Linked DNA regions of Caenorhabditis elegans. The protein of the gene in region 1 interacts with the protein of each later gene in a biochemical or structural test. Each region holds a gene or a part of one and is shown on either strand. Other genes may lie near its edges.

Evidence for each region.
Region 2: the proteins of brc-2 (region 1) and rad-51 form a complex in vitro, tested with the Caenorhabditis elegans proteins (one study listed by BioGRID).

What each region holds. Positions count from the first base shown.
Region 1 is NC_003281.10:6,901,183-6,905,106, forward strand, and holds the start of brc-2 (DNA repair protein brc-2), read right to left. Parts: upstream 1,925-3,924; 5' UTR 1,896-1,924; coding exon 1,873-1,895; intron 1,798-1,872; coding exon 1,647-1,797; intron 1,552-1,646; coding exon 1,448-1,551; intron 1,404-1,447; coding exon 1,264-1,403; intron 1,181-1,263; coding exon 1,007-1,180; intron 956-1,006; coding exon 833-955; intron 790-832; coding exon 705-789; intron 659-704; coding exon 562-658; intron 323-561; coding exon 195-322; intron 130-194; coding exon 12-129; intron 1-11. Other genes in the region: T07E3.3 (DSBA-like thioredoxin domain-containing protein), read left to right, coding at 2,713-2,781, 2,999-3,140, 3,196-3,320, 3,365-3,643, 3,691-3,852. UniProt on the Caenorhabditis elegans protein: Required for the homologous recombination repair of DNA double strand breaks, thereby playing a role in chromosome integrity. Acts by targeting rad-51 to sites of DNA damage and stabilizing rad-51-DNA filaments by blocking ATP hydrolysis catalyzed by rad-51.
Region 2 is NC_003282.8:10,282,404-10,286,327, forward strand, and holds the start of rad-51 (DNA repair protein RAD51 homolog), read right to left. Parts: upstream 1,842-3,924; coding exon 1,817-1,841; intron 1,733-1,816; coding exon 1,653-1,732; intron 1,612-1,652; coding exon 1,330-1,611; intron 1,094-1,329; coding exon 947-1,093; intron 893-946; coding exon 735-892; intron 249-734; coding exon 157-248; intron 108-156; coding exon 1-107.

The DNA.
Region 1 (3,924 bases):
ATAAATTATACTTTATGTTTCAAGTAAGAGCCAAAATCTTTCCAGTCGACTTCTGCCACGTCAGTGCATTCCCATTCATCATTCGATTTTTCGATTTCAACCATAACAGGGCGGAACACATAGTTTTGTCTGAAAAAATGCAACGGAATTTAAAAAATTATAAATTGAAAGTTAAAACGCCGCAAAAATCTCACCGTTCCTGGGGGTCTTTGAATCGGAACCAATTGTCAAATCCTTCATATCCTAACAAATCGAGTAATTTCTTCATATTTTTTGTAGTCACATTGATAAACATTTGACCGGAGAAGTCCATAACTCGCACCTGAAGTTTTTTTGTAACGATACTTCCCAAAAACTAAAATTCAAAAAATTATCTAAATTCAGCTAAAATCTCAAACTTTGTCAACTTGACAATGTCACAACTCGCAGAAGTGAGTTCCGACCGCCGCACCACTGACAAGTCGGAAAAATTTGAGATTTTAGCTGAAAATAGGCTATTTATCCAAAACATTAAAAATGTTCTATATTAGGAAATAGGCAATATAAATATAAAGAACATACTCTAGAATACATCGACAATTCAGATTTTCCTTGGGAATCCTTACAAAACTCGCATTGATTCGCTGCTTCTGGGAGAGAGTGTTTGCATTTCGAACATCTGAAACCAATATTATTATATTAATTATCAAGGAATCAGTATGTACCCTGCATAAAAATCCAAATTTAAATCGAGTAAGTTAACTTGGACAACTGTTTTTTTGATTTTCGTGTCTGACAATTCGTGGATAACTGAAATAATAATTTTTTTAGGTGAAAACTCGAAATGGCTCACATCTGGGTTTGATGCAAAACGGCTTCTTGGCAATTGAATGGCGTCGGATACCGGATTTCGCACCATTTTCCTTATTTTTCAGAACTCTATCAATATAGATTTCTGTAACATCGCCTGAGCTTGCTGAAAGTTTACGAAAAATTAAATCAATAGCTACAATCGATTGAGCATTACATTTTTTACAGACTTCCGCGTCGACATGAATTCTGTCGCCAAATTTAATATCAGAGCCACGATTGTAGCTACAAGTGGCCAGGATTAGAGGAGTTGAGCTGGATTCTTGAAGAATAATTCGGAATTTATCCTTTTCGTAGATTCGAGAAACACGCAAAACATCGGCGTGGATTTCTGAAAAAAGACTCCGGATTACGAGAATTACGGAATAAAGAACAGTTTTCAAAAAGGAGAGCCAATTCTAGAGCTTAACTAACCTTTAAACTCCTTCTTCTTTTCTTTTTTCGAATGTTTTTTACTTTTTTTAGAAGAACTGCTGGTTGATTTTTTTGCTGGTGGAGCTTCGAAATCTTCGAAACCGCCGCTAGCCGGCCGTTTTGTAGTTGTTGAGCTCGTTCTGAAAAGAAAAACTTCGAGCTAGATAGCACCTTTGAAACTTACCCTTCTCTTCGAAACGGTGAAACGAAAGCGCTCGACCCATTGTTTTTGCGCACGAGAGGGGAAGAAAATCCGCCTTTAGACGAGGATTTGCTCTTGAGATCACTCTGAATTTGAAATTTTTTATATTAGAAGAATAAATGTGTTGTCGAAGTTAATTTCAGAATATGTTCCATTATTTCCTTTTAATTCCAAAGCTTACATTCAACATCTTCTTTGATTTATCAATCGATTCCTGCTTCACATCAATTCGGATACCAGCCGCTGTTGAAAAAACCGGTTCCATTGATATCGGTACGCCTTTCGGCTCATCAAAGCTGTCTGGTTCAGATATTGTGTCGAAACTGTCTTTTCTGAAAACAAAGAATTGCAATTCATGTATGTTTCTCAATTTTCTTGCTATAACAATAAAATAAATCTTGACTAACACTTTTTTAGATGAGTCACCCATCGGTCGATGTCACAATATTCTGGTAAAGTCTGAAAATTTCATTTTGAGTTCAGAAATTTGAGATTTCAATTGAAAAAAAGGGAAAAAATTAAATTTTTGTTTTTCAAATAAACTGAGAATTTTACTGTCCGGTGGAGCGTAATTGCATTATTTCCTTTTTGAGAAAAAAATTGCGACACTAATTTATTTATTTCCGCCTTTTCTTCTAATTTCGTAATGCAAAATCAATTATCTCACAAATTATAACACGAACCGTTTCTGCCGTTTAAAACTGTGGAAATAATTATATTTATGTGCGGTTTTCATTCATAAAACGAGGGGAAACCCCCAATTGACCTTTCCTCTCTGAATAAAAAAGCAAAGCAAATATTAAATCCGTGTATTTTTTGCGTCATTCTTTTCTATCTCTTACTCTTTTTGCCCCCGCAGTAATAAAGATCTAGAGAAATAGAGAAGAAAAGGAGAAAGTGAGGAAAAAAAATACATGCTCGCAGAGTTCGAAGCTTTGGTCTAACTAGTTGAGATTTCTTCCCAGCTTGATGTTTTTCCGGGTCGCTTTTTCCTTTCATCTCTTAAATTTTCATTTTCCATTTCTTGGGTATTTTCTTTTGATAATCAAATTAAAGAAAAAGCACTCGATTTTAGGTGCAATCATTCAAAAAATTCTTTTGATAAAATAATCACCTTATCACCATTTTAATGTCATTCCCGCCATGAAAACCTGATTTTACAGTCTAAACCTTTCCTATTTTCTCATGATGACGCTCTGATTTTTTTTAATTTCTCGACATAAATTTAATTTCAGCCAAACTTCAAAATGGCTCCATTGCCACGTGTGAAATGTTATTTCGATGTGGTCTGTCCCAATTCATGGATCACTATTCAGGTACATTTGTAATCTAGAAAAACTTGTTTTGATACAATTTAAACTGAAAGATTTTGTTTTTCCGGGTTTTCATTTCCATTGCCCTTCAGAATCATGTGCTTCACGTGAAATAGAAATGGGTCGCATGTGAAAAATAGATAGATCTCAGCCCTTTTTGAATGTTTTATTATTCCCGAAAATAAAAAAAGATGGAAAGAAAATCAAATATAATTTTCAGGCTCTTACATCACACAATTCTCTATTCGAGCGTATAGATTTTGAGCCAGTTTGTGATTTTAAAATTGGAATTCTTCATAATGCTCAAATCTGGAACCAACGTCGACAAGTACACAATTCGAGACTTTGGAAAACGAAAATAGGTAAGTAGTTTGAAAATATATAGAAATCCAAATAATCGCGGGAAAGTTATTTCAGAAGTTCCAGAGCAAGCAGAAAGCGAAGAAACACTCTCAGAAATGGGAATTCTACAAAAAATCGACGAGCGTGGCAAGAAACTTATTGGTTGTGAGCGTGTCGTGCCACCTGTAGATTGGAAAAACGTTAGATTGATTTCGAATATTTATTCTCAAACAAATATTTTTAGACCTACAAAACAGCGGTAGCACGTGGATCGGTCATCCCTCAGCTGTTCCTCACTTCAATCCGTGAACAATACCCAGACCTCTATGAAAAAGCAATTCATCACTTGGGAAAACGGCTCTGGGAGCAGCGACTTCCAGTTCACTACGGGTGTCACATGTCTACAGTATGCCGTGAACTTGGAATCTCATTCAAAATCGCAGAAGACATTGTGGCTCGTCTCTCATCTCCAGAAAATCGATCGATACTACACAAAAATTGCAAAGAAGCCGTGGATTTCAAAGTAAATTTTAATTTTCTAGAAATAAAATCAAGAATTTCCTTTTTCAGCTTACTGAAGCACCCGGATTAATCTTGTTAACTGATGAAGGAGACACTATAAAAGTTGATAAAATCAATGATATTTTTGATGATAATATCATGATTTCCAAGCTCTCAAGTGTATCATCAAGCCAACCAGTCGAGCAAAAAATGTCTGCAAATCGACTTTAAATTTAGTTTTTTTGTTTCCAATTCTTCCTTCCTCACCCACCTTTTTCTTCATATTTACCCACTTTTATTGCA
Region 2 (3,924 bases), on another chromosome or scaffold:
CATCTGACGTTCCGCTAGATCTCCTCTTCCAGTGTATTCGTTACGGAAATGAGCAGTTGCACAGTCAACAATCACAACAGCATAACGACTCTCGGACATCATTGCTCCTATGGCACGAAAAAGTTTATTTTTTTATTTTTTGAAATTTAGATTTACCTGCTCGAATAATCAAAGCCATCAAATGTTCTGAGTTGTATGCACGTGCAACAGCGATATTCTCGAGTACATGAGCACTGTCCATATTGTATCTGCAAGAAATTACTTCGATATTCAAAAAAATGCTACAAGATCCATAATAAGGTAAATTCTCAAATGCCAAAATTCAAGCCATGTGGCGTAAACCAGTAATTGTACAAAATGAGCCATTGCGACTTGTTCTCCAAACGTTTTTATTTCAAACTTAGTGATAGAATATAGAGAAATATTTACTTTATCTGAAAAAAAAAACTTATATTTGTTGAAACAATAAGGAAAAGGCTAAAAAATTGCCTGCAAGTTGAAATTCGCCAAAAAAAGACCCGGAACATCTCTGAAAGTTCATTTACGGCAATTTCCAACTTGCAGACCATTTTTGGCCTTTTCAATTGTTCAAGCAAAAATAACAGCTATTTTCAGACTGAGAAAATATGTTACTGATTTCTCGAAATAAATTTTAATTTTTTTTTAAATTTTCAAGTCGGGAGATCAAATTATGACAAATTCAGGATTTTTAAGAATAATTCTCAATCACAAACCTCTGAGCGATAGCAATAATTCGTTCGGGTCGAAAAGTGGCATTGGTATCAATATACATACATTTTCCCTCACCACCTCCCATATCAATCGGCAATTGACACAAGACTGCCAGACTGTGGCAAAGCTGAGTTTTTCCTGTTCTATATTCTCCGTAAACCTGAAATAAATGTTTTATTGAGTACTGTTGTCAGTTTATCCGTGATAAACTCACCTCAGTGATACTGCCTGTTTCGATACCGCCACCCAACAGTCTGTCAAGTGAAGCAGATCCAGTTCTGATCTGCACCAGCTGGCTTCGCTTCACATGAACCTCGGCTCCCGTCGTGAATCCCATCTGCACGAATTTCATGGCTTCTTTCTGAAATTAAATCATTGAAATATGAGGCCGATGTCTACATGTTCACAGCTGGTCGATTTGCCGTCAAAACTGACCTTGCAGCTGATCGTTTCATTCTTTTTCGGAGCTAACCTCGAAAAATGTATCAACTTTTCTGATACTTTCAATTCAATTAATTGGATTTTGAAAAATAAAGCCACAGAATTTTTAGTTTTTTTCTTTAATTCTCGAATAAGCTGATTTTTTGATATGCTCACCATTATCTTTTCAGCTTTCTGATCACTAATTCCTTTGACATTTCGGAGTTCGCGTCTTGTAGTAAATGCCAGCGATTCGTATGTATAGTATCCAGCTTCTTTTAGTTTTGAAATATCGCCAGAACTGATTCCTGAAGACTCAAGTTTATCGATAACTGTGAAGTTTTCATCTTGCTCCATCGCATTATCCTCGATTGCTGCATTGAGCAAAGCTTGATCAGCTGCACGCTGCTCTTGATCCGATTTCTTTTGACGACTTGCTTGAGCTGACATTTTTGACTCCTGAGATAATTTTAATTAATTATTTTTAAGTTAAAACATACAATTGGAAGGAAAAGATTTATTGAATGCAAATTCAAATTATATAGCCATTTATGTGTACATAGTGAACGTTTCGCAATCCCTAAAATCGGCATTTTTAACAGTGGAGCTTTTTTTTTCAAAAATTATGCTACACATTTACCTAAACTTATTTTTAAAATGTTACCTTCATATCCCCAAGATTGTCCCATAATCAATAGCAAAAGCTTTCTCTAGAGCAACAAAAATTGAGAAAAACATGGCCTAGAGACACGTGCCAAGTCCTTCCTCGAGCCCCCGTTCGCTTGACGAAAACAAGAACTTTCATGTTTTTCACAAGTTAGAACTGCTTTTGCTGCTCTACTATTTTTGTCGTCAACTACTGATTTATAACAGGATTAAGTCCACATATTTCTAGGCGTCAAGTTGAACGAACATATTTTCGAATTTAAGAATCACAATTTATGATTTATAGGTTTTTATTAAGGGTTTTCTTAGATAGATTTTCGTTTTAGAATAGAAAACATGGAAATTTAAATGCAAGTAAAACTGGCAGTAAATACAGAATTCTCAATTTTCAAAGTAGCGCCATTTGAAATTTTTTTTTCCGCTTTTTCGATGGCGCGCACTTGCTGTACTCTTGTTCAACACCTCGCCCTCCCGTCTCGTCCACTGCCGCTCGCGTGTGTGAAAGGCACCGATAGGAACGGGCCAGGGAAAAGGAAAAAGTGTAGAAAAAGACGATGCGCAGACATACAGCAAGGAGGGTCAGTGGACGCAATGGGGAAAAGAGAAGGAAGAGGACACCCAAATGTCTACTATGTACATTGTGTCCGAACCATTTTAAAACCAAAACTGGACATTAACCTTATCTTTTGCCCTTTTGAGCTTAATTTTTATATCACTTTTCTGCCTTAAAGCATTATTTTTTAAAGTACTATTCGTTTTTCAATCACTCGAACTATTAAATCTTTAAAACATTTTTTCTTGCAAGATTCTATGATTTTTGAATACTATTACTTATTAATTTATTAATACTTAGCTTAAATTTATATAATAATTTTTTATCTTGAAAATTGTTTTTCGTTGATTGAAAATTATATTTCAAATTTAGAATTGTTCGCAATTAAAAACGGGTAAAGCATGAAATATATTTCAGAAATCGAACAAAAATCAGGCTTTTTATTTTCCGAATATCAATTTCAAGCGTTAACCGAAGCGTTGTTATTTAATGACAAAAAATTTTGTTCATTTTAGGTTTTCATTCAAGAAAAGGAAGCAAAATTTAGCATAGCTGAAGACTTTTAATTAGTTTAACTCAAAAGCTACGAGAATAATCAAAAATTTAATAAAAAACCGCGCAAATCATTAGAGGATAATTAAGTTTTAAAACTAAAATGACAAAAAATGACAAAAGAAACAATGAGAAATCAAAACATGTTTCCTCCGTAAATCGACATTGAGTACTGTAGCGATTGGTCTCGCAGCGATGTTAATTTTCTTCTGTACTCCTCTCGGATAAATTTTATTATTATTGAACATGCGTATTAAATCGTTCATTGAACGGAAAATGGAGAGAATCGCAAGAAAAAAAATTATGATGAAAGTGCAAATAATTTAGAAAGGCTATGACACAGGTGATTCGCCGTTATAAAATACTTATGGCCACCAGTATTTTAGATGCAATTTGCAAATCGCTAATCTCGCTGCGGGACCACCAACATTCTAGCAATATATTGCTAATTGCGACTTTTAGTGCAAAATATTTGCTTCATCATATTGCTGATGCCTCAACTACATTCCATAAATATTTAAAAAACCGCGAAACACATGTGTATCTACTGATAAACTACATAAAGAAGTGAAATTTGTTAATAAAATCTTTGCATGAGAATTGTAACTAACTAGGGTAATTGATTTCATTTGGGCTTAAAATTAAACTCAACACATGATGAGTGAACAATTGGGATCGAAGTTTAGATCTAGAGGTTTTCCATCTATAAGTGAGCCGGTTACTAGTGCGATCAGAAGTTGTGAATTTGAAAAAATGTTTTTGATTAATATTAATTTCTCCACCAATTAGTTTCCTTTCAAACTTTTTGTCTTTTCTTCTAATGATCCAATTCCGTATTTTAGCCTACTTTCTGAAAAGTTCAGAAAATCTTTTTGAACTCCTTCTATTTCCTGTATTATGTTTCTAAATTTTTTTGGATTTTTTTTTGAATTACTGGAATGGAGATGTTTTAATAGGTCATTTACATGGTTATGTACAAATATTTTGACCAAATTATGTAT